3 linked regions of the Arabidopsis thaliana genome follow. The protein of the gene in region 2 purifies or fractionates together with the protein of the main gene of each other region. This does not show direct contact. Each region holds a gene or a part of one and is shown on either strand. Other genes may lie near its edges.

Region 1 (9,415 bases), on a different chromosome or scaffold from region 2:
ACTTTACTTGAGAAACGAGGTTCACATGAGCTGGTATAATATACAACAACTTTCTCATCCGTAGATCCCAAATACGGCATTGATTATCTTCACCACCAGATGCCAAATGATAACCATTAGGAGAGAAATCCACCGAGAGAACCTGTTTGATATGTCCTTGGAAGATAAGAATATTCCTAGCCGTACGAAGATCCCAAACTCTTGCAAGCGAATCAAAACCCGAAGAAGCTACTAATGATCCATCTTGTTGAAATGCAATTCCGTAGACACTACGACTATGACCTTCTTGTGTTAAAGCATCTCAACTCCTATGTTTATATCCCACAATCTCCATGTTTTATCAAAACTCGTTGTCCGGAGGCATCTCAACACTACGACTATGACGGGTGGAATGCAATGCGTGCAAGACGATCTGAATGACCTTTAAAAGTTTGTAGAAGTGTTCCATCCGTTTTCCATATCTTTTCAGTTCGATCAGTAGAAGCAGTTGCTAGACATTCATCATCCACAGACGAGAACACTACATCAGTTACATGTTCTTTATGACCTTTCAAGACAACAATCTTGTTTGTAACTTGAGGCACCTCCCACAATTTAGGAACCCCACTAAGAGAACATGTGACGAGTATTTTTCCATCTCGTGATAAGGAGCAACCAGTAAGAGGACGATCATCCCCAAATTTACTAGAACCAAGAACCATGTCTTTACAATGCTTTAAAGCCAATTTAGTCTCAGCATTTTTATCTTCATCTGGATCATTCCTTCGCCGATTTTCACGCTGAATCCTTAGAGCAGCTCTCTTTATAAAATCTTTGGTAATTTCTATTCTAGCCTCTCTAAGCTCTGTTGGACCCATTGGTATAAACAAACTTTTGAAACAAGATCTAGAAGAAGCTCGTGACAAGACTAGTTCACTTAGAAGACAAGAAGGTTTGGCTTACCAAAGCTCTTATTTATAGCAAAGTAAACGAGATGGATCAGAAAGAAAGAAAGGAAATCTATTAAAAAAGTGGGTTATTGGGGTTAGCTTTGAATTGTGATTTGTCTCTTAAGTCTAAATTCGATAGGAAGCAGTATTTTTATCCAGATCTTCTTCAAGGTTATCAGATTTGGATATTCCTCTTGAGTTTGGTGGTGGACATAGGAGATTTTGGTATTACTAGGGTTCATATGGAAGAAGATGCTGGCAAGTTACTTCATTCAGACACAGGAGATTACTCTCAGGTTCATATGGAATTTATGACAAGTTTCAGTTTGGTTTTATCAGATTCTTGTATTGGTTTTAGGCTTCAGCTGCAAGATGTTTGTGTTTCTTATGTATTAGTTGGTTACTCTAATGGTGCAAGTAGATTTGAATAGAGCAGGTGTTCTTGAACATGATCTGAGAATTGGTATAGATGCTGCTGAATACGCTTGTGAAATGCAACAGATTGCGAGGTCTTTGGGAGTCAGTAATGGGAATATGCAAGAAGGCTCTCTTATTCCTTTTCAAAAACAATAATATTCAACTCTTGCAAGTTGCGAAACATGGGAGCCTAAGCGTGTAAGAATAACCCACTGAAACTCATATATTGCATGAGATCACTCACCTTTTAACCTAATCCTAGACAGACTTATCTGCCTTTTAAAAAAGACATTTTAAAACAGAAACAAACACTCTTTTATTTTGCTCCATAACTTGTGTATTGCTTCCTTCACTATTGCTTGCTCAAGTTTCTGATAACATATGGAAGTATGCCTCCATGGTTAAAGTATGCCAATTCCACCTGCACATTTATTTTACCATTATTAGTTCCTTCACATTGAAAAGCTTTTTTTCACTAAAGATTGGAGTATTTAGTTACCTCTGTGTCGAAGCGGACTGTGCAAGTGAAAGATTTTCCGTTGTCGGTAGTGACGGTAACATCTTGGCCAGGTCTTATCTCTGAGATATCGGTTGGGAGATGGATCGTGTAGCGTTCGTGACCAGTCAATCCAAGAGTATCTGCGTCTTCACCGGACTTAAAGCACAATGGGATGATTCCCATTCCCACCAAGTTGCTTCGGTGAATCCTCTCAAAACTCTTTGCAATCACCGCTTTAACACCCTGACAATCCCAAACTTGTTGTTTCAGAATAAAACAGTAAGATTGGTTTATGCGGAAAGAAACTAGAGAAGCGGTTCTAAACCTGTAGCATGGGTCCCTTGGCAGCCCAATCACGTGAGCTACCACTTCCATACTCAGCTCCAGCCAGAATAATTGTGTCTTCACCAGATGACTTGTACCTCTGATACATTTGACATTATGATAAGGAGACATTCGACATGATCAACATACAGTCAGTAATACAAATTTTAATTAGATAAATACAAACCATGGCAGCGTCAAAGACTGAGAGCTTCTCTCCAGATGGAATGTGAACAGTCTTAGGGCCAACTTCACCATTCATGAGCTTGTTAACGATACGGATATTAGCAAAAGTACCTCTGGCCATTATTTCATCATTCCCACGGCGACTTCCATATGAGTTGAAGTCCTTACGGTCAACGCCACGCTCCATGAGAAACTTTGCAGCAGGACTGTCCTTTTGGATGTTTCCAGCTGGTGAGATGTGATCAGTGGTGATACTGTCCCCAAAATTGAGTAAACAGTAAGCATCCTTCACATTGTGTGGACCAGGAGGATCCATGGTCATGTCCTTGAAGTATGGAGGCTCGTGAATGTAAGTTGAGTTGGGATCCCATGAGTAGAGGGTATTCTCAGGAACAGACAGCTTATTCCACATGGGGTTACCCTTGGTGATTGACTCGTACGTTGCTCGGAACATGTCAGGCAAAACACTGGATTGAACAACCTGATCCATATGTCAAAAGATTAGTTTAATATTTGTGTATAAAAAAGATGTTATTGTTCTCTGGTTAAGTCGTATATACCTCAGCAATTTCTTCCGTGGTTGGCCAGATATCTCTTAAGAAGACGTCCTTGCCATTCTTTCCTTTGCCAATAGGCTCCGTTTCAAAGTCAATGTTAACCTGGAAAATAAGAAAGAAGAACGCCAAAATTACCAATGTGATAATCAGTCATGTGTCATTATCTCATACAAAATGTAAGTTGAACTTTGACAAGTTCTCAAGATTTATTACCGTGCCAGCAAGAGCATAGGCAACCACCAACGGAGGAGATGCAAGGTAATTGGCTCTTGTTAGTGGATGAACACGCCCCTCAAAGTTCCTGTTACCGGATAGCACAGCAGCCGCCACAATGTCTAAAACCAAGCAACACAAATATTGAAAACAAATCAGCTACTTACTTATATATAATAGTAATATAAAGGATGGAAAGTCCAAAGTAAGTTTAGTTGGGAATCTCAATAATACCATTTTCGGTAATAGCAGCTCCCACTGATTCATTAATTTCCCCAGAATTCCCGATGCATGTAGTGCACCCGTAGCCGACAATATTGAAACCCTGTTCATTCAGATATTCTTGCAATCCACTGCATGGAGTAAGATGTTACACTTAAATTTACCATCACATAAGAAAGAATTAGCCTTTAACAACGAAGAACTAGATAAAAATACGACATACCTCTTTAATAAGTATTTTGTAACAACTCCTGAGCCTGGAGCAAGACTTGTCTTTATCCAAGGCTTAACCTACAGAGGCAAGTTTTTGAAAAAGGGATCAGAAAATGTCGAGGCATCAGATAGATTTCTAGTTTGCTCTCGTGAAACCAACCTGTAGCCCAAGGTCACAAGCCTTCTTTGCAACAAGACCAGCACCAAGCATGACGCTGGGATTTGATGTATTAGTACAGCTTGTGATTGCAGCAATCACCACACTTCCATGTTTAAGCTCTGCTGGTTGTCCATCGAACGAAAAATTTACCACTTTTTCTTGTGCCTCTTTAGGTATAGCAAAACCCTGCGGAGAATGAATAGCAATATTCAGAAATAAACATTGATTTCCAAAATGTGCACCAACAACCCAGTCTATAGAACGAGTAAATGGTTAAGAGATTAGACATCCACAAAGTGAAACATCCAGTTACATACCTTGAACCCAACTTTACTGTCAAGACATGAATGCCAGTCAGCTTTCATTTCCTTCAAAGTAACACGATCATGTGGCCTGCAAAGAAGATATCAATAATATGGTCATGACCAATTATTCAGACAATAAACTTCGCGATTACAAAAACCAACAGAACCCATACCGCTTTGGTCCAGAAATGCAAGGTTCAACATCATCCAGATTCAGTTCTAGATATGACGAGTAAACCCGGTCTTGCTGAGGCTGAAATTTATTCACAAGCAAAGTCAAATAAAAACCTGAAAGGAGATTAAGAAACAAAAAAAGAAAGAAAGTATAAGGCTAATTTACCTCATTGTAGTCAACAAACATATTGTTAGCCCGAAGATATGCTTCAATCATAGCCACCTGCCATGAAAGTATTGTATCAGACCAGATATCTGAATATATATAGAAGGAAGATTAAAGTCAAACACTCACTGTCTCATCGCTTCTTCCAGTCAATTTGAGATATTGTAGAGTAACATGATCCACAGGGAAGAAGCCCATGGTTGCACCATACTCGGGAGACATATTGGCAATTGTCGCCCTGTCAGCTAGGGACAGCCCACTCATGCCATTACCTAAGAAGAAAAAAGTAGACTTATAATGCTCCAACAAACACATGTCTATTATAAAAGAGCAAAACACTTAAGAGCTCACAAGGATATAATTACCATAAAACTCAACAAACTTTCCAACAACGCCATGCTTCCTCAGCATTTGAGTCACTGTTAGAACCAAATCAGTAGCTGTTACACCATTACGCATTTTTCCGGCAAGTTTGAATCCAACAACACCAGGCAATACCATACTCATGGGCTGTCAAACCAAAAAAGCGTTATCAGTATAAGAAAAATTCACAAACCTCACTGTATTGGAGCAGAAGAGTCATAAAATATAGTGATCTAATCTAAAATTCAGTAAAGTTGACTCCAGATTAACCAACATCTGATGTGCGTCATGTAAATAATCAAAATAATTTACCTGGCCAAGCATTGTTGCCTCAGCTTCAATACCCCCAACACCCCATCCAGCAACTCCCAAACCATCAATCATAGTTGTATGTGAATCAGTTCCAACCACGCTGTCTGGGTAGAGAAGGCCTTTGGTATTGAACACAACTCTTCCAAGATATTCCAAATTGACCTGAATTTTCAAGATGAGGTTAGTTTGAGACAAACTTCAAGACAGATAAAAGAAGATAATAAATGAAAAGAAACATTTCAATACACTGGAAACATGAGGTTGAAAAGGATATATATCAATGTCAGAACAAGTTTAGAAACAACTTATGGACTCGCACACTTTAAAAAAGAGAATTACCTGATGCACAATACCAGAGCCAGGAGGCACAACAAGCATGTTCTGGAACGCAGTAGAACCCCATTTAAGGAAAGCAAACCTCTCCTTGTTCCTCTGGAACTCAAGCTCCATGTTTGCTTGCACTGCATTCTCTGATCGAGCTACATCTACTTGAACCGAGTGATCAATCACAAGATCCACCGGAACCTGAGAGACACAGTATAACATAAGAAATCTAAAAGAACCCTAACCTAAACAAAAAGCATCAATCTGTGGCAAACAAAAACATACCAAGGGATTGATTTTGTTGGAATCACTTCCCAGCTTATTCATCGCATCACGCATACAAGCAAGGTCAACAACAGCTGGGACTCCCGTAAAGTCCTGAAGAAGAACACGAGCTGGTTTAAAAGGAATCTCTACTTGTTTAGGAGATGTCTTTTCCCAGTCAATAATCTTCTCAACATCTTCCTTAGTAACTTGAAAGTTATCACAATTACGAATCGCAGATTCAAGCAGAATCCTAATAGAGTAAGGAAGTTTATCTGCAAATACAACACTCCTCTTCAGATTCTCAGGTCCTTCATAAACTCATTCAAAGAGAGATTCAAAAAATCCATACCAACTCGTGGATCGTTAAGAGCAGGTAAGCTATAGAACTTTCCGAATTCACCACCACCAGGCTTAGGAAGTGTAGTGAAGATCCCTTTAAACGGATGCTCTGACGCTGAAACAATCATAATCACAAAACAGTTACTACTAATCAACAGAGATCGGAATAAAAAACTCAAGCTAGATCAATCAGATCGAGATATTTTACCCATGGAAGAGAAGGTTCTCTGGAGACGATCTAAGACTGGAGAAACAGCTCTGATCTGAGAGGTGAAGCGAAACGGAGATGGTTTCGAGTGAAAGGAATGGCTCCAGCGACGGAAAGCAGGGGAAATGGTACCAAAAGATCTACGAGCGAGAAGAGACGACGGAGAAGTAGATGAAACGGAGGGAGATAAAACCGATCGGAAAGAGAAAAGAGAAGAAGAGCGAGAAGAAGCAGCTCGGATGATGGAGGAAGAAGCGGAAGATGAAGCGGTTAAATACATGATGATGAAATCACGCTTCCAGATGCAGATTCAGATACTGACAGAGAAGATGAAGAAGATAAGGTTATTGATTGATCAATTGGGATCGATCATGGAGGATTTTGAATCTGACGTCGGAGTGATGAATGATTGAAGAAGCGAGAGAGAGAGAGAGGCGTGTGGAGACGAAACGAAAATGCCTAGGGCTGCGTGCCAATAAGTCAATCTTCCCTCTCTCGCAAGGGAATATTTTTTTTTGTTTACGGTATTTTTTGGATTTTAATCTACGCAGCCCCTCTCCTCCACATAATTTCTATTTAGCCCCTATTATTAAAATAATATATATTTTTATTTATTTTAATTTAAATAATTACTTAAAAATCAAATAAATCTCATAACATTTTTACCTGTTTGAAAAAGACAACGTAATATATAGTTTCTTAATATATAATCATATATATATGAAAATTGGTCAACACTCTCCATATGAATGACACACCATCACACAAAAGCATCACACAAAAGTTTGACATATATCATTCTATATTTTTAAATTTAAAAAATAATAAAATTAAAGGTAATATTAGTAGATAACCAAATAAAACATACAAATTAAGAAACTAGCAGAGATAAAGTTTTTTGTTACAAAATAACCATGGACCCACGTTGTCGGAAGAAAGGAAATAATAAAGCTATCCTTTATTTGTTGTAAGATGAAAAGTAAACGAAACACATCCGTGTAATTTTTCAAAATATCATGTAACATTAAAATTTCACATGTTATATTTAGTTTAAAAACATGCTATTTCATAATACGTTATGAATTTTTTTTTTTAAAACATTATTATGAAATTCTTTTACATGAACAGAATCTTAAAACAAAAATTATATGTGATTTTAATAAAAACCATGTATTACTAAAAAATAAGAATATTTTTAAAGAAATCACGTGTGATCTCAATAAAAAACGTGTATTACTACAAAATATCATGATAAAAAGATATATTAAACTGAATACAATGTTTTTTCCAAAAAATAGCATGTGCTTTTTATAAATACTATGTAATAAGAGAAAATAACAAGTGTTCTCCAACATGTTTCCGACAAGATACTGTGACTCAAGGTTAGTTTGTACATTCTTTTCAAATCTATAGTCATTTATTATAAATACTCTAAAATTAAATGTATGATTAATCCTATTCTTAATTGATTCAAAATAAAATAAAAAAAAATTATGTTAATAAATTAAGCACTACTTTCATTATACTCTTTATTTTATTAAATTTTTATTATCAATAATCACTACTAGATAATGACTTTTTTTTGTGTTGTAGTTGTTTGCTACCAAACCTCTTATTAGTTTAGTATATATTATTCTCATGAACATATTTTCGTCATTAGTTTTCTAACGTTGTCCTTCGCGATTCATCATTAGTTAGACCGATACAGATTTCTTATGTTAATCTTATTTAGAGATCTAAAATCTACATATACATTTTTCAGCTACTTTAACAAATAAATCTTGTACTTGAACTTATTTACAATGTCATGCTATTGACATTAATTATTAATAAATGAAATATTTAATTAAAGATGTAAATCAAAATTAGTTTGGTAAAAATTGCTAAAACACTGGACACATCTTTACTAATATTACGGCAATGATCATTTAGAAATCTAATCATATATATGAAAGTTGGCCAACTCTTTCCATATGAATGACACATCATCACACAAAAAAATGACATGTGTCATTCTATATTTTTTAAATTAAAATATTAATCATATTAAATAAGCAAATTAAATGTATCATCAATCCTACTCTTAATTGATTTTTTCAAGATAAAAATAAAATAAAAAATTATGTTAATAAATTAAGCACTACTTTTATTATACTCTTTTTATTTTACTAATTTTTTTGTGTTGTACTTGTTCGTTACCTAACCTCTTATTAGTTTAGTAATTTTATTTTGAGTCTTTGATAACATTGACACTCAAGTTTTTTCAAATAATAAACCTTTAAAACGTTAGACTTACCAAATAATTTAATACACGATCATTTCTCTTATATTGATATATGCAATGAGAGAAGATCTAAAAGTATTGACTTAAATACTGCTTTAATTTATGCTTTTTTTTTTAATTCTTTTCATATGAATACTTTTGAAATCTTGTTCAGTTTATATCAATTCTATATATTTAATCATGAGTCGATAACACTAATTAACTAGATTTTAACCCGCGGTATACCGCGGAGACAATTTATTTCCTTAAAGTTAGTATATATAAAAGTTTACAAATTTTATCTATCTATAAAATATTTTTATTTTATAGTTTACAATTGTTATTAAGTAGCTTCCTGCCAAACCCGTCCCGCCAACCCGTCTCGTAAAAAAAACTATTTATTTTATTAATGTTGATCTTATTTATGATATGTTTATGAATCATTGTCTAAATATTTTATAATTTTGTAGTAATTAATTGCTATCAAATATCTTTACGGTTTGCTGCTTATAATCGAATTGTTATAGTCATAAAAAAAAAGCAATATCAAAAATGATAATTTTGTAGTATTTAAATGATATTAAATATTTTGGAAATTTTATTTTAGTAATTAATCGTATAGTTAATGCAGAGAGATTTTGGAAAGGTAGTTAAATGCAAATATTTAATTCGAAGATTTACTTTCTAATTATCAAAAACAATTATTAAATGCCGGTGGCAGCCACTGTAAATAAGTCTCAACTTGAAGATTTATTTCACAAAGTGGCTGCAAAAATGTATATGTAGATTTCAAATAAACCATCACATTATCAAATAATCGTGCAAGGTTTGATATTATGGTCATATTTTGTATTATTTATTTGGTTTATTTTGTATTATTCTCACATAAAGAAAAAAAAGTTAAAGTGGTCATCGTGTTATAAAAAAAAAAAAAAAGTTAAAGTGGTCATGTTTCATTTTCTTGAATATTATCT
Region 2 (7,107 bases):
TTAGAGCCTACAGATGTCAAAATCAGTGATAGAAAAGAACAGCTATTTGTTTCACAGACATGTGAGACATAAAGCTTGCTCTAGGATCAATCACGTCCTACGAGCAAGTACAAACATTTGTAAATCAATAAGAGTACAAAAGGTTATATCAGAGCTTTCGTAGAACAGCCATTTCCCCCAAAATCTTACAACAGGAAATTTCGTTGTAAGAAATGTTGACTTCTTGAGTGTAGAAGTGTCAAACTTGGGAACGTGACCAATAAAAAATTGACGTTTCGCTACAAGACTAAAAATCATGGGCCTTGGGCCGAAACATGAAACCTAAAAAGACTGTTATCACATAAAAAGCCCAATAAAGAAGACTTTACTAGGGTTTCATCGTTTTAACTTCTTAAAAAGGTTAGTCGCCTCTTCTTCGTATTTTTTGCCTCGCTGAGCAGCTGCGAATCTCACGACTTCAAGATGGTTAGTCTCGCTCTCTCGCAAATTTTTAATCTTTGTTACAATCGTTTGTTAGTTTCGCCTGTTTGGATTGATTAAAGAGTTTGATTTGTTGTTAGTTAGATATCGAAACGAAATTAGTGATTTTGATTTGTGTTGGAAAAATGAAATGTAACAGCCGTCGCACAAGTCGTTTATGATTAAGAAGAAGTTGGGAAAGAAGATGAGACAGAACAGGCCTATTCCTCACTGGATTCGTCTTCGTACCGACAACACCATCAGGTTCGACTATTCTTGTTTTTTTTTGTCTATTGTTTATTCCCTGATCTATCAAATTGAAGATATATTTAGTTGTGTTAGTTGATCGATTTAGTTCTAAAACTGATTTCATTGTGTGGTTAATTTCAGGTACAATGCCAAGCGCAGGCACTGGCGTAGAACCAAGCTCGGATTCTAAGTGATAAGCCTTCTAAAAGAGTCTTCTTTATCTGTTTGGTTTAGCATTTCCTCAAGTCTTCTTTTTGTTTTAAGTTATGACATTTTCATATTTCTGTAAGACTTTTACTCTATTATGATTCATGTTACCAAATTTTCTTCGTATTGGGAGTTGTTTCTTAACATTTGTGTGATTTGACTATTGAAGTATCTCTTGGTTTGCTTCCATGTAGAGTTGTTTCTTAAGAATTTTTTCTCGCAACCTAGAATCTGGATTGGGTTTAAATTTAATCATCTACTTGCGAACTAGAAGCTTTAGAATTTCTTGCTAGTAATTGTACTGGTTTTAATATCTAGTGGTTTTGAATCTTTTGATAATGTGATAGTGAGTCGATGCTTCTTATAGCAGACAATGTGGAATTGCACTGGTATTAAGATAGATCACACTGTACAATCTGATCATTTCTGTTGTAACTCTTCCGGTCAAGTATAGTTGTGAAATTATGTAAAATACAATCGTAACAAGTTCTTCTATAACTCGATGGGAGTCTCCCAATACAACAAGGCCTGTCAAACACGATCAAATCAAAAGTTTCCTTGAAAATTGTCTAGCAATCATAGTGTGATGCTAGCTTATTAATTTAGCCATCTGGTTTCAATCAAAGATCAAGAAGAAGCTAAAAAGGGTATATAAAACTGTTTCTTATTGTCATCTACTGAGATGGAAGCTCAGCTTACGTTATGGTATGAGTCGATGATCGCATCAGCAAGATACTCGCATTTGGCCAGAGATAATCCGGCCAATGATATCCTCCCGTCTTTAGTCATATACACATGCCATTTGTCCGTCATGTTATCGCTCTGCTCGTTACCAAAAGAAAACAGCACAAACTTCAAACCACAAGTCTAAACAAGGCCAAAGGGAATCTGTGTAGTATTAAAATTGTTGGCATACCTGAGCTTTGTTTAGGCCGGTGAAAGAGAACATGCCAATTTGCTTCAGAATGAAGGACCAGTCCTTCCCGCTCTTGTCTTTTGAAACGAGGCTATCATACAGCTCTTGTCTAACCGTCTTTATTCTTCCTGCCATCATTTCCATCTCTGCTTTCCATTCACTGAACATAGTTACATCACCCACTACATTGGCCACGATTCTCGCCCCATGAACTGGTGGATTCGAGTACATAGGCCGAGCAATCCTTTTCAACTGGCTCTTGACCCTGAAAGCAAGTAGTGTTACTGGTAAAGGTTCCATAAAACCTGTAGCTAGATATGGTTCGTGACGGTAAAGATAGAAACTGAGACTCCAGGATCACTTGCAACAGGCTCATGATAAGAAAATTTAGAGTAAGTTTTACCTTGTAGCAGCATCAGCTGAGGAGCACACGACATTGATTGCCCCAATTCTTTCTGCATACAAACCTAAATTTTTACTATATGACTGAGCAACAAAAAACTCCATTCCCCGCTCAGCAAATAATCTCACAGATGCTGCATCTTCATCAAGGCTTCCACTAGCAAAGCCCTGGAAAATAGGTGCATGTAGCGTTACATAATATGGTTTCGCTTACTTCTCTCGGAAACACGATATTCGGAAATGTAGGAATAGGGGGATACCTGGTATGCAACATCGAAAAATGGGATATGGTTCTTTTCCTGAATGACATCAGCAATTTTTACCCACTGTTCTGGTGTTGGGTCAATTCCAGTTGGGTTGTGAGCACATCCGTGAAGCAAGATGAAGGATCCTTCTGGAGCTTCCTGTACATTTTACATAACAGAAATTCAAGATTAACCATTATAATCCATCAGGGTTTCACGTTGTCTTTAAACAAGTACTCGTTTTATCACACAGACAGTATAACTGCAAACAAATACTCACTTTGGCATCACATAAATGATATCCTGTTTGTTGATGCATATATAAAGCAATGTCAACTAAAACATAGCCTTCTAGGACAAACAAACCTTTATATCTGCTATCATTCCCTCAAAATCCAAACCAATTGTTTTTGGATCATAGTAGCGGTATTCGGACCACGGAACTTTGGCATCATTGAAGATATTCTTGTGATTACCTGATGTGGTATTTTGTACAGTTGATAAAGGCGGTTAAATATGAAACCAAATCACTCAAAAATGTTTGTGGTCAAGACAATGTACCCCAGGTTGGTGATGAGATCACAACTTTTGCTCCAGGGAAATAACGCTCTATAAGAGCCGCTGCTAATCGCAGTGAACCTGTTCCCGAAAGACCCTGAATTGTTGCTACCTGGTGATTTAGAGCCAAGGTAAATGGATTAGCTCAGAAACAGGAACATCATGAGAAAACATTTTAATAACATGATGAACAAAAGATGCAGAATTACTCTTTGTTCCTTAATAACAGGATGACCAGCTCCAAATAGCAACTCAGCAGTAGCCTTGTTGAATGCTGCCAACCCCTCAATTGGAAGATACTGCAAGTTCCATCCATGTGAGGTATAATTTAGTGATATTCTGATGATGTAATCGCTTGCACAATTTGAAATAAACCAAGTTACCTCTTTGTTATCTCCTCTCTCCAACATCAAATTCTCCGCCTAGAAACGACAAGTAATGAAATTAACTACATGAAAAGAGCCATACGAGATTAACTAGAGTTACAAGTTCCAACCTTTTTAACAACATTAAGCACATAAGGCTGGAGTTCCTCAGTACGATAAGCACCAACACCAAGATTGAGTTTCATCCCGTTAGTGTCAGCTTTGAATGCTTCACTGACTCCAAGAATAGGGTCTGGTGGAGCCATAGTTATACCCTCGAAACGAGAAGGCTTCACTGCAACCGTCATAGTCACTCTGCTAAAAGACTGAAACCAAAATCCACAAATTTCAGATACAAACTACACTTATTAGACTAATAACACTCTAAAACGTCATTCAAAATTGTTCATATGGTTCAGATTCGAGCACTAACAAAGAAAAGAGAGTACCTTTGCTTTTAGGAACGGGTTCGAAGCAGAAGTTCCAAGCTTTAGCTTATCCTGTTCAAGTTTAATCGAAAACAAAAAAGTAAGATTTTGAATAAACTGATGCGTAATTTCTACCATATACTCGATAGAACGGCGAAAAGTACCTTGTTAATCTCGCGCGGTAACAGAGAAGTGGAACCGAGAGATAACATTAAAGAAGCCATGGAATCGCTATGGAGCACAAAATTAACTGCACAGATCTCAAATCAGTGAACTAGTGCGAGGATAAGCAATTCCAAAAATAAGACAATGATGTGATCCACAAAATATGATCACGAGACTTTGTGAGTATTTTAGCAGAGCTGATTTGTCACCTGGACTTGGTTAGAATCGCGCGGTTTCGATAACGATCAGATCGAGAGATTGAAGAAAAAGATTAACAAGGATTCAACGAGAGAGAGACACGACGATGTCTACGAAGTTGTTCTCACTTCTCAGGCTTGTCTTGATAGGGGTAAGATAGTCATTTAGGATTATGTTTAAAAGTTGAAAGAGTGGATGGATGGATACTAGTGGATTGTGATTAGTGGTTCATGCAACAATTAATTGAATATTTACACTTAGTGACAACACAATTTATATATTAATCAATTTACAAATACAATAATGACAAGTGAATACCCTTCTGTCCTCACATTTTTCACCCCCAAATTAAATTACTCAAAGCAATCAGAGATCAAACTGTAAAATTCAAAAAAAGAAGCAAAAAATATTATTTTCTTAAATCAAGACGATGATGGTATTAACCGGAGAGTCCCTCCTAGCTCTACCGGAACCAATGGAACTAGTGAGTGAAGAACATCGGTTATCAACGGTCGATAACTCGGTTCTGGTTGTACACAAAGCACTGCCACGGCTGCCACCTGAACAATTTATTTCCGGTTTTATTTACGTTTCAACACAAAAAATATGTAACCAATCGGATTTTTAAGCCTAAACACAAAGACAAAAGATGACGCAAACCTGGTATAAGTGCTTATGATCCATTGTATCTTTGATAACCGGATCCACGATTTTCGGAAGCTTTGATCTATCCGTAAGTTGGGGCATTGCCTGCAAATTTTTCGAAACGGTACACTCATTAACCAATGCTATCTGATTCATGTATTGATGGCAATAACGTCAACACAAACCGGACTTACCCAAGTGACAAGAGATTGACACTGAACCGAACTCAATTTCTCAACCGGCCGTCTTCCTAACAAGAGTTCAAGTAAAACCACACCAAACGCATAAACATCACTCTTATCCGTCAATTTTCCTGAGGGACATAAAGATGTTGCAATGAGACAAACTCAATAAACCGGTTTAGCGACCCAACAACTACCATCTCTAATCAAATAATGATTTCTATGTGTGATTAGTTGAAATAATACATCAACAAACAAAATGATTTGATTTAGAACAACAATTTTAGACGTAATGAAAGAAACTTAATGTTATGGGGTCACATGATTATGACTATCAAACTATGTGCTATAACTCTAGTGATATGACAACGAGTCAAAGTCGATCAATATAGAGGGAAATGTTAATATTTTACCATCTAGGAGATATTCTGGAGCAACATAACCAAGTGTTCCTGATAGTTTAATGTTGTTTTTGCCGTGAGCCCCCACCATTACCGCAAGACCAAAATCCGAAATCTGAATGTTGATCTATCGTTAGAGATGGAACTAAAGACAAATGAATGAAATGATTCTTGAATCAACGAAACAAATCTTGTTCGGTTAGCTCAGAACAGAATCATCATTAATGATTCAAGTTGTTTACCTTGGCGTTGAAGGAAGAATCAAGGAGAATATTTGACGATTTAAGATCTCTGTGGATAACCGGAGGACGACAACGCTCGTGGAGATACTCAACAGCTCTATTTCCAAACCAACATAAGAAAACGGTTTACCTAAACCGAAATTAATCAACCGGTAGAGAGGATTGTTAAATGTGGGCACTTGAGTGTAGTACCTTGCTGTATCAAGAGCAATCTTCATCCGCATGTGCCATGTTAAAGCCGATCCCCGAGAAGGTCCTTAACCATTAATGATGCAAACATTAAATTTTATCAAAACAAAAATTATTTATTTCATGTGGGCACATGATTTGTTTTATCTCTGTTATACTATAGTATTAATTTAACTCATGATCTATTACACGATGATGAGAAGATGTTTTGAGCTATTTTTACCGTGTAACTGTGTATCCAATGATCCGCTTTCCATCAGCTCGTAGACGATAAAACTCGAACTGAGTTCATTTCCATATCCAAACAATGAGATGATGTTCGGGTGGTGAATCTTGCTCAACAAATCAACTTCATTCTGAGATTTAGATGATAAAATCAGATATCAAGAATCCGGTAAAAAAGTAAAAATGATTAGTACTTGTGTTTTGTTTTGGTACCTGAAATTCTCGTTTTGCTTCTTGACTAACGTTTTCGATCTTTTTGACTGCTGCTAGAGTGTTGTTGCCTAAACAGGCCTTGTAAACATCTCCGAACCCGCCTCGTCCTATAAGATTACCGTCTTTGAAACCGCCTGTTGCTTTCTCTAGTGTCTTGTAATCGAAGGACTGCACAAAGCCCTTCTTGGATAATGAAATCCTACTCTCACCTTCTTCCGCATGAAACCATTTAGATATCAAAACAGAGAGATCACAATGAAGAAACTGATACAGAATCTTGTTACAAATGTAAAGTTTTGCAGATTTGTTCTCATTCTTAATGTTAAGATGATTATTACCTGAGTTCTTGGTGTTTTTGGGAGATTTCTTAGACCAATAAACCCAAAAGCATAAACAAGATACAAGTATTAGTCCTAGAGAAGATGAGGTGATTATGAGAGCGATTAGAAGTTTCTTGTGTGCATCTAACTTGTGTTCTTGGCCTTTGCCCATGTGGATCCCTGAAATCAGAAATCAAACGCTTGAGCTAATCTTCTCACTGTATCTAATTTCTGAATTATCCCAAAGGGATCTAGATGAGAAGGAATTTTCAGAATAACTGATAAAGAGATACGTAGAAGATAGCAATTCACTCATTCAGCAGCTCAAAAATAGCAATTACGTATATAATTAAAAGTCAGATTTTCATTGGTTTACTAAAACACAGATCAATCCACAAAAAAAAACATAAGCATGGATAGAGGAAGAGAGAGATACCTGGAGAAAAGGAAGCCATGGAAGTGTAAACAGGAGAAAGAGAAGGCTGTGAAGCAGGTGAA
Region 3 (6,420 bases), on a different chromosome or scaffold from region 2:
TTGTTAGCGCATCCTTGGCCAAGGAGGAGTGCTGAGACAGCCTTCGCATCAATCTCAAGAGACATATTTTCTGTTTAGGATAATTCAGGTTAATCTGTTATTAGTTTATATAGAGATCAGCAAAGGTTTCTACTTCTAGAGACATAAAACATTGTTTTCTTTTTAAAAAAAGAAAGTGGAAAGTGTAGCCTTATCGAATAAACTATCCACAAAATGTGTAAAGTGTAAACGCAATAAAAGTAACTTGGCGCCATCAATGTTGACATTTGGTAATTCACAAACGTGTGACGAGACGACGTAGTTGGAAGGTCTTGTGCGATTGTTAGCCTTTAAACAATCAATAACATTAACAAGTTAAGGGACACTTCAAAGTAGCCAGACAGCTTGAGGTCAAGTCTAACTAAGGAAGGCACCTTCCTCTCACCTAATCCAACAGACTAATTATATTTAATACACATCTTGGTCTGTTGGACATGAATCCCATGGAATATCTCTAGGTAGTTATTAACCTGGATATAGAAGCTGGGTGCATAAATCATTGGATCATGCTTTTTGATGAATAGTGAACCATAGGACTTGTTTCTACAGAAGAACTTAGGAACTTGGTATTATATAGTGTAGCTGAAACTGAAAGCTACAAGATTTGAATAAGTAAGTTCTACATATACACTAACACAGTCATACATACATGTGTGTGTGCGTCAATGTGTGATCCCATAAGTTCCGCTTTGTAGCATTACAATTTTGGTCTTCCGTAGAAGCCGCAACGATTGTAACACCTCGCAATTCATGATTATCAATAATTTCAGCTAATAACCATGTATTAGGCAAGTGTCCGCCACAAAAACAGAGAAGAACAATAACTCTGTTCGTTAACGTTAGCCATAAAACAGACCGTAACAAATAGCGAAGCAGAGCATGTGCTCTGTTTTTTTGCTTTGTACTCATTACTAACCTTATAGGAAATCTTCTCTTGCTACACCTGTTTATTTTCATCAATGCTAATACTATATTACATACCAAAACCCTACCCCTGCAACAGTAAAGAACTCCTAATGGCATTATTAACACAGACATAGTGAGAAATCATCCTAAGACCCTCAAAAATCAATCATCTGTAATTAATTAACAGAACTAAACGCCAAAATTCTCGACATTAGTTCAGGATCGCCTAAGGCCCTAATTATCATTTTTTAAATTAGACCCCTAAGATTCTTGGTTGCGACCAATGCATACACTGCCGATAAATTGGATTCACGTCTTTCCAATGCTGGTTCGTTGGATACTCTACCAATATTTCTATCACCGTTATCATCTATGTGCTCTGATTCCTCACGCAGCTCATAACCAGCATGCTATAACGCAAGACGGAAACAATCGCGATAGAGACGTCATCGAACCAACCATGGAAATTATACAAGTATTTAGATTGAACAATTAGTTCATCAAGTTTTGTGTCAAATTTTATTTCTTTTCAATTGTGCAGAGCATCTTTACCGGTACACTTGAGGCTAATTTAAGACAAGATCGAATATAAAACATTAGCTCTTCTTCAACACCACATCATTTCTCTTCCAAGAACTTCAATCAAGCGCAGTCAAATTTTGAGACATGATCTCAACCGCACGTTCGATTTCCTCCTCTGATATAACCAACGGAGGAACAATCCTGACGACATTTCCTTTCCCCGCTGTCAAGATCAGAAGACCCGAATCTCGGCAAGCATCAACCAGTGAGCTTGCCGGCACATCGAGCTCCACTCCTATGATAAGCCCTTCGCCTCTCACTTCCTTCACGTGCGAGTTTCCTCCAAGTTTTTTCACCAACAGGTCTCTAAAGTATCGACCTTTATTTGAGACACTGGACAAGAAAGAGGGTTTCGATACTTTATCCATAACTGCAATGGCTGCACTGCACACAAGAGGGCTGCCTGCAAATGTACTTCCATGATCTCCGTAGTTTATGGTCTCTGCAACCTTTTCAGTCACCAGCACCGCTCCAATAGGTAAACCACCAGCTAAAGGCTTTGCAACCGTCATTATGTCAGGAGTCACACCGAAGGCTTCATAAGCCCACATGAGACCCGTTCGACCCAAACCACATTGAACCTGGGACAATGAACCCAGTTGAGGCAAGACCAATCAAAAAACAGAAACAAAGAAAGAAAATAAAATTTTGGATGGACGGTAGAGTATATTACCTCATCGAAGACGAGAAGAGATCCAGCGGCATCACAAGCAGAGCGCAGAGATTGCAGAAACTCTTTTGTAGCAGAGTAAATCCCGCCTTCTCCTTGAATTGGTTCCACAAAAACTGCAGCTATTTTACCTGAGCGGATAAGGTCTGTGGCTGCTTGAATGTTACCATATTCTAAGAAGGTTACACCAGGCATGATGGGTTCGAAAGGAGTTCTGTATTGTTCTTTGCTTGTCAAGGCAAGAGCTCCTAAGGTTCTTCCATGGAAGCTGTTTGTAAAGGCGATGAAACCTGTCGCGACTTCTTTGTCTTCTGGATGGGTGAATCTCTGGAATTTTCTTGAAAACTTAATGGCTGCTTCATTGGCTTCCGTTCCCGAGTTACAAAAGAATACACGGTCTGCAAAAGAACTCGCCACCAAGCGTTTTGCGAGCTCTATCTGCAGAGAAGTTCAAACATTTCAGATTTTAACAACCCATATGAAGTAGATATGAGCATAAAGGTTCCTTTTTTCGAGGAATTGGGCATTGAGGAGCATATGTACACTAAGAGTTTACAATGAGGTCAGATACTTCTCATAAAAATTTCTATAGGGAAGGCGTAGAAACAATCCAATTTGATGAAATTTCAAAGTGCAAGTACTTGTCATAGAATAATCTCGCTATTATAAGTAGAAGACTAATCCAACATTCCCTAGCATGTTTCCATAGGCCATAGCTCAATCACACAGAGGATAAAAACAACAAAAGTTTTAAGCTTTCGTCAGCCATCAACAGAATCAGTAATGCAAAAATACAGTAACGAATAAATACCTGAGGGATCGTGTAATAAACATTGCTGACATGGGCAAGAACACCAGCTTGCTCAGTGACAGCTCGAAGCCAATCAGGATCTCCATGACCAAGAGCATTCACAGCGATTCCAGATGCACAATCCAGATACTCTTTTCCTTCAGGGTCGAACAATTTACAACCTTTCCCACTCGAGAGAACCACTGGAGCTCGCGCGTAGGTACCCACAATAACTTTGGCTTCCTCTTCAATCACCTTCTGGCTCACACTCGCTTTTACCGACACCGCTTGGTCCCCTGCGTTAGTCAATACGCTCGCAATCCGGCCGTTGAATCCGATCCGGGTTCTGATGATCGGCCGCTCCAATCGACGGCGTAAGAGGCCAATCTCCGACGACGGCGCGCGTGGCAGGGTGATTTGGCTAAGAGACGCCATTTTCGTGTGTCGGGACAATAAAGAGTCGTTAAGACAAAATAGCTGAGATTAATTCTATTTCTAGGGTTTTAAGGCCAGTGATAATTTTACTACTACTGGTTTAGCTGAGCTTAATAAAGAATCTGATTAGTATCTTACTTTTTCCGTAATTACGTGTTTTTAGTATTAATGGTTTGAAATTTCTAAATTATTTATAACGATGAAAAAGAATGCAAGACTGCAGATATTTTTTAGTCCATCAATCATAATACAAAATATAGTAAAATGTTTGGAACGTGTTACACTGATTATAAATGTCGATGTAATACATCTTACCAGAGATAATAAGAAAGAACAAACAAAAAAAAAAAGGTGTACATCTATTATCTAAGTAGATAATTACATCTCATCCTAATAAAATGGGAGAAAGATAAGAATCATTTAGGAGATTGGCAGAACAAAAATCTTACTACCAGCTAAACTAGAAGATATTGTTAACACACTTAACCATAGTCTCGAACCACTTCACCTTCAGGCGAATCTTCTTCAGCTTCCACCGGGATATGGGTGAAGGATATATAGGATTAATCTACGTTCTTCATATTCATATAGTTACAGTTCAAAAAACATGTTTGTGGACGGAGGAGGTATAGTGGTATAGTGTTGTGTAATGGGAAAAACAAAAGAATGATATGCTTGTGGCTCGCCCGTTCAGCAGACAACTTCAGGGCTCGGGTCGTTATCTAGAGGCATGTTTAGGTCAGGGAGCAAGAAGGAAGAACCTTGTTCGAAAGTGAGTTTGCACGATAAGGCAGATTGTGATTCAGCCTGCATACACATGAAAATGATATACTTGAATAATTAACATGTTTATCTTCCGTATATATGATTGAATGAGTACATGTATAGAAAGATAGAGAGAGAGAGAGAGAGAGAGCGATGGGCTCACCTTCATCTTCTTTAGAGCAGTGTTTCTTGCTCTTTGTTGCTCGAGCAAATCGCGCATATTTGCCAATTCCTGATTCAAGAATAAGATTAACCAAATCTAAGATTAGAACTTGGACTTGATATATAGAGACATAAAGAAAGAGGCTAAAATGGAGGTTATACATTTTTCAGGCCGTTACTTTCCTTCAAGAGCATGATCTCTTCCTCTTTAAGCTCAGCCAAAGTCTGTCAACAATCATATATATTAATTAGAGAAATATAGGTTTGAATCGGCTAAAATGTAAAACCATATCAGTCCAAATGTAGAAAATATAAGATTGCTAGGCGTATCTTAGACAATATGCCTCAACAGATTTAAACAAACCAGTAGGTAGTAGCCTGGTCAGAGTTGCTCTATGTCTGGTCTAAAACTAGTAATATTATCTTTTAACAGTATCAGTAACTAATAGAAACACTGTCTTTCGTATTTTTTACCTTCTTCTTTCTTGATCTCTTGAAAAGGGTTGTTGTTGTTGTTGTTGTTATTGCACTCGTTTGAGAAATCTGGACATCAAAACAAAAACAATCAGATTATGGCTTAAGACACACAACACCACCAGATAAAGCCAGCTCAACAATCAATAATCACACCAAACTAATACCGTAAAAACAATTTGTTTTTGTATTGTATATCATTTCTATAAAGAAACCACACACCTACCATTCGAGAGAGACTTTAGAGGCACGATAAGTTGGAAACAAAAGAATCACTTCATCAGCATATTAACAAATAACAACTAGAACTTGGAAATCTAAAAGAAAATTCCAAATCATGTAAATTTCAGCAGTATCTTCTTGGTCAACTACTCAAAAAGAAAAAACAGAAGGGCAAATAAATAAATATATAGAAAAACATAGAAACACGTGAGTGGAGCGTGACTTGGGAGACTTTTAAATATAAAGCGTGTGTGTTTGGTCGTCACATTCACACGTCATGCTTTTCCTTGTCCTCCAACCCCAAACTAGTGTCACGTATTCTCCACACCACCACTTGTCCTTATTATCTATCATCTTTCTATTTTTATTTTATTCTACCCAAAAATTCCATTTCCTTTAGTTTGACGACTTTACTTTGGTTTTCAAATTATAACCCACCGATCAAAGTCAACTTCAAATCAGACAACAATCTTAACTAAACTTTGTAAAAAAAAAAGTAAAACAGGCTAACTCAACAAGACTGTCACCAAGAAAATCTGACGGACGAATCACAGGACCTAATCCGTTGCAACAACTGAGGACTTTGACCACTACTACTAGAGAACGAGTACATACTACTTATTGTCCACTGCGCCACATCTGATAACTGCTCTCCCCACTAAACCCTACCACACACGTACCTAATCCACTCATACTCTAATCTTAAATTCAATTCCACGAAAACGCCTCCCAAATTATAAATAACGCCAGCGATAATCTCTGGCATTGACTAATATACCCTCTATCGTGAGAAGCAGCTAACCTGGTGACAAGGGTTAATTTAGTCATTAGCTTGGTAATGATAATGAATGTGTTTATTTTTTCTCTTTAGCATTGAAGTCTACAACGCTGATTTGACCCAGAAGACCTCTCCCCTCTCCCTTGATGTGAGGGCTTTGTGGTCTTTCCGCAAAGCAGCATAGAGAGAGAGAGAGAAAGATGACTGAGATGCACAAAAGTGGGAAAACGTGACTCTTTTGTTGCCAAAAGAAAAGAGCAAAAAGCAGAGATCACCGAATTTATCACCTGTTTGTTTGAAACTCAAAAACAATCTAACAAGTGTTTCCAAGAAGACAACAAAAGAAATCGAGAAAGATAGATTGAGTTTCTTGGAAAAGAAAAGACTAAAAACATCATTGCCTAAATTGGAGTTGTGTCCACGCTGGGGGTATTTCGGTCAACGAAAAGTCGGTGTACCTACATGATCAGCTTAAGAACACGATCGTGGATCCTAAAATGACCAAAATACCCACAAGCTACCAACTGAAATGTCAAGGGCGTACTCGGTAGTAGATCAGCCCAAACCACAACAAAGACGCTTAAAATTACGTTTTTA

Evidence for each region. The genes of interacting proteins can lie anywhere in the genome.
Region 1: the proteins of ASP5 (region 2) and ACO3 fractionate together in Arabidopsis thaliana (co-fractionation; one large-scale study listed by BioGRID). This does not show direct contact.
Region 3: the proteins of ASP5 (region 2) and WIN1 fractionate together in Arabidopsis thaliana (co-fractionation; one large-scale study listed by BioGRID). This does not show direct contact.

What each region holds. Positions count from the first base shown.
Region 1 is NC_003071.7:2,138,634-2,148,048, reverse strand, and holds ACO3 (aconitase 3), read right to left. Parts: upstream 6,721-9,415; 5' UTR 6,459-6,720; coding exon 6,179-6,458; intron 6,086-6,178; coding exon 5,981-6,085; intron 5,904-5,980; coding exon 5,650-5,903; intron 5,566-5,649; coding exon 5,380-5,565; intron 5,203-5,379; coding exon 5,041-5,202; intron 4,876-5,040; coding exon 4,731-4,875; intron 4,638-4,730; coding exon 4,495-4,637; intron 4,423-4,494; coding exon 4,366-4,422; intron 4,279-4,365; coding exon 4,199-4,278; intron 4,114-4,198; coding exon 4,038-4,113; intron 3,907-4,037; coding exon 3,721-3,906; intron 3,639-3,720; coding exon 3,571-3,638; intron 3,479-3,570; coding exon 3,360-3,478; intron 3,248-3,359; coding exon 3,126-3,247; intron 3,015-3,125; coding exon 2,916-3,014; intron 2,837-2,915; coding exon 2,357-2,836; intron 2,270-2,356; coding exon 2,171-2,269; intron 2,089-2,170; coding exon 1,846-2,088; intron 1,768-1,845; coding exon 1,699-1,767; 3' UTR 1,371-1,698; and 1 more. Other genes in the region: AT2G05720 (Transducin/WD40 repeat-like superfamily protein), read right to left, coding at 1-228, 422-857. UniProt on the Arabidopsis thaliana protein: Catalyzes the isomerization of citrate to isocitrate via cis-aconitate. Contributes to oxidative stress tolerance. Modulates cytosolic citrate metabolism during lipid mobilization. Required during seedling growth.
Region 2 is NC_003075.7:15,469,469-15,476,575, forward strand, and holds ASP5 (aspartate aminotransferase 5), read right to left. Parts: upstream 4,386-7,107; 5' UTR 4,204-4,385; exon of another isoform or gene 4,080-4,203; 5' UTR 4,054-4,079; coding exon 3,994-4,053; intron 3,902-3,993; coding exon 3,851-3,901; coding exon of another isoform or gene 3,835-3,850; intron 3,728-3,834; coding exon 3,533-3,727; intron 3,459-3,532; coding exon 3,420-3,458; intron 3,336-3,419; coding exon 3,246-3,335; intron 3,149-3,245; coding exon 3,040-3,148; intron 2,955-3,039; coding exon 2,845-2,954; intron 2,638-2,844; coding exon 2,494-2,637; intron 2,402-2,493; coding exon 2,235-2,401; intron 2,097-2,234; coding exon 1,832-2,096; intron 1,738-1,831; coding exon 1,615-1,737; coding exon of another isoform or gene 1,606-1,614; exon of another isoform or gene 1,444-1,605; coding exon 1,408-1,443; 3' UTR 1,293-1,407; downstream 1-1,292. Other genes in the region: AT4G31985 (Ribosomal protein L39 family protein), read left to right, coding at 463-465, 620-723, 850-898; AT4G32000 (Protein kinase superfamily protein), read right to left, coding at 4,615-4,752, 4,853-4,942, 5,032-5,150, 5,433-5,535, 5,663-5,759, 5,855-5,918, 6,075-6,207, 6,290-6,789 and 1 more. UniProt on the Arabidopsis thaliana protein: Amino acid aminotransferase important for the metabolism of amino acids and Krebs-cycle related organic acids. No activity with D-Asp or D-Ala as amino donors. In plants, it is involved in nitrogen metabolism and in aspects of carbon and energy metabolism.
Region 3 is NC_003070.9:30,297,092-30,303,511, forward strand, and holds WIN1 (HOPW1-1-interacting 1), read right to left. Parts: upstream 3,568-6,420; 5' UTR 3,423-3,567; coding exon 3,009-3,422; intron 2,636-3,008; coding exon 2,201-2,635; intron 2,109-2,200; coding exon 1,584-2,108; 3' UTR 1,371-1,583; downstream 1-1,370. Other genes in the region: WRKY66 (WRKY DNA-binding protein 66), read right to left, coding at 1-65; AT1G80610 (uncharacterized protein), read right to left, coding at 4,113-4,229, 4,351-4,419, 4,512-4,574, 4,824-4,892.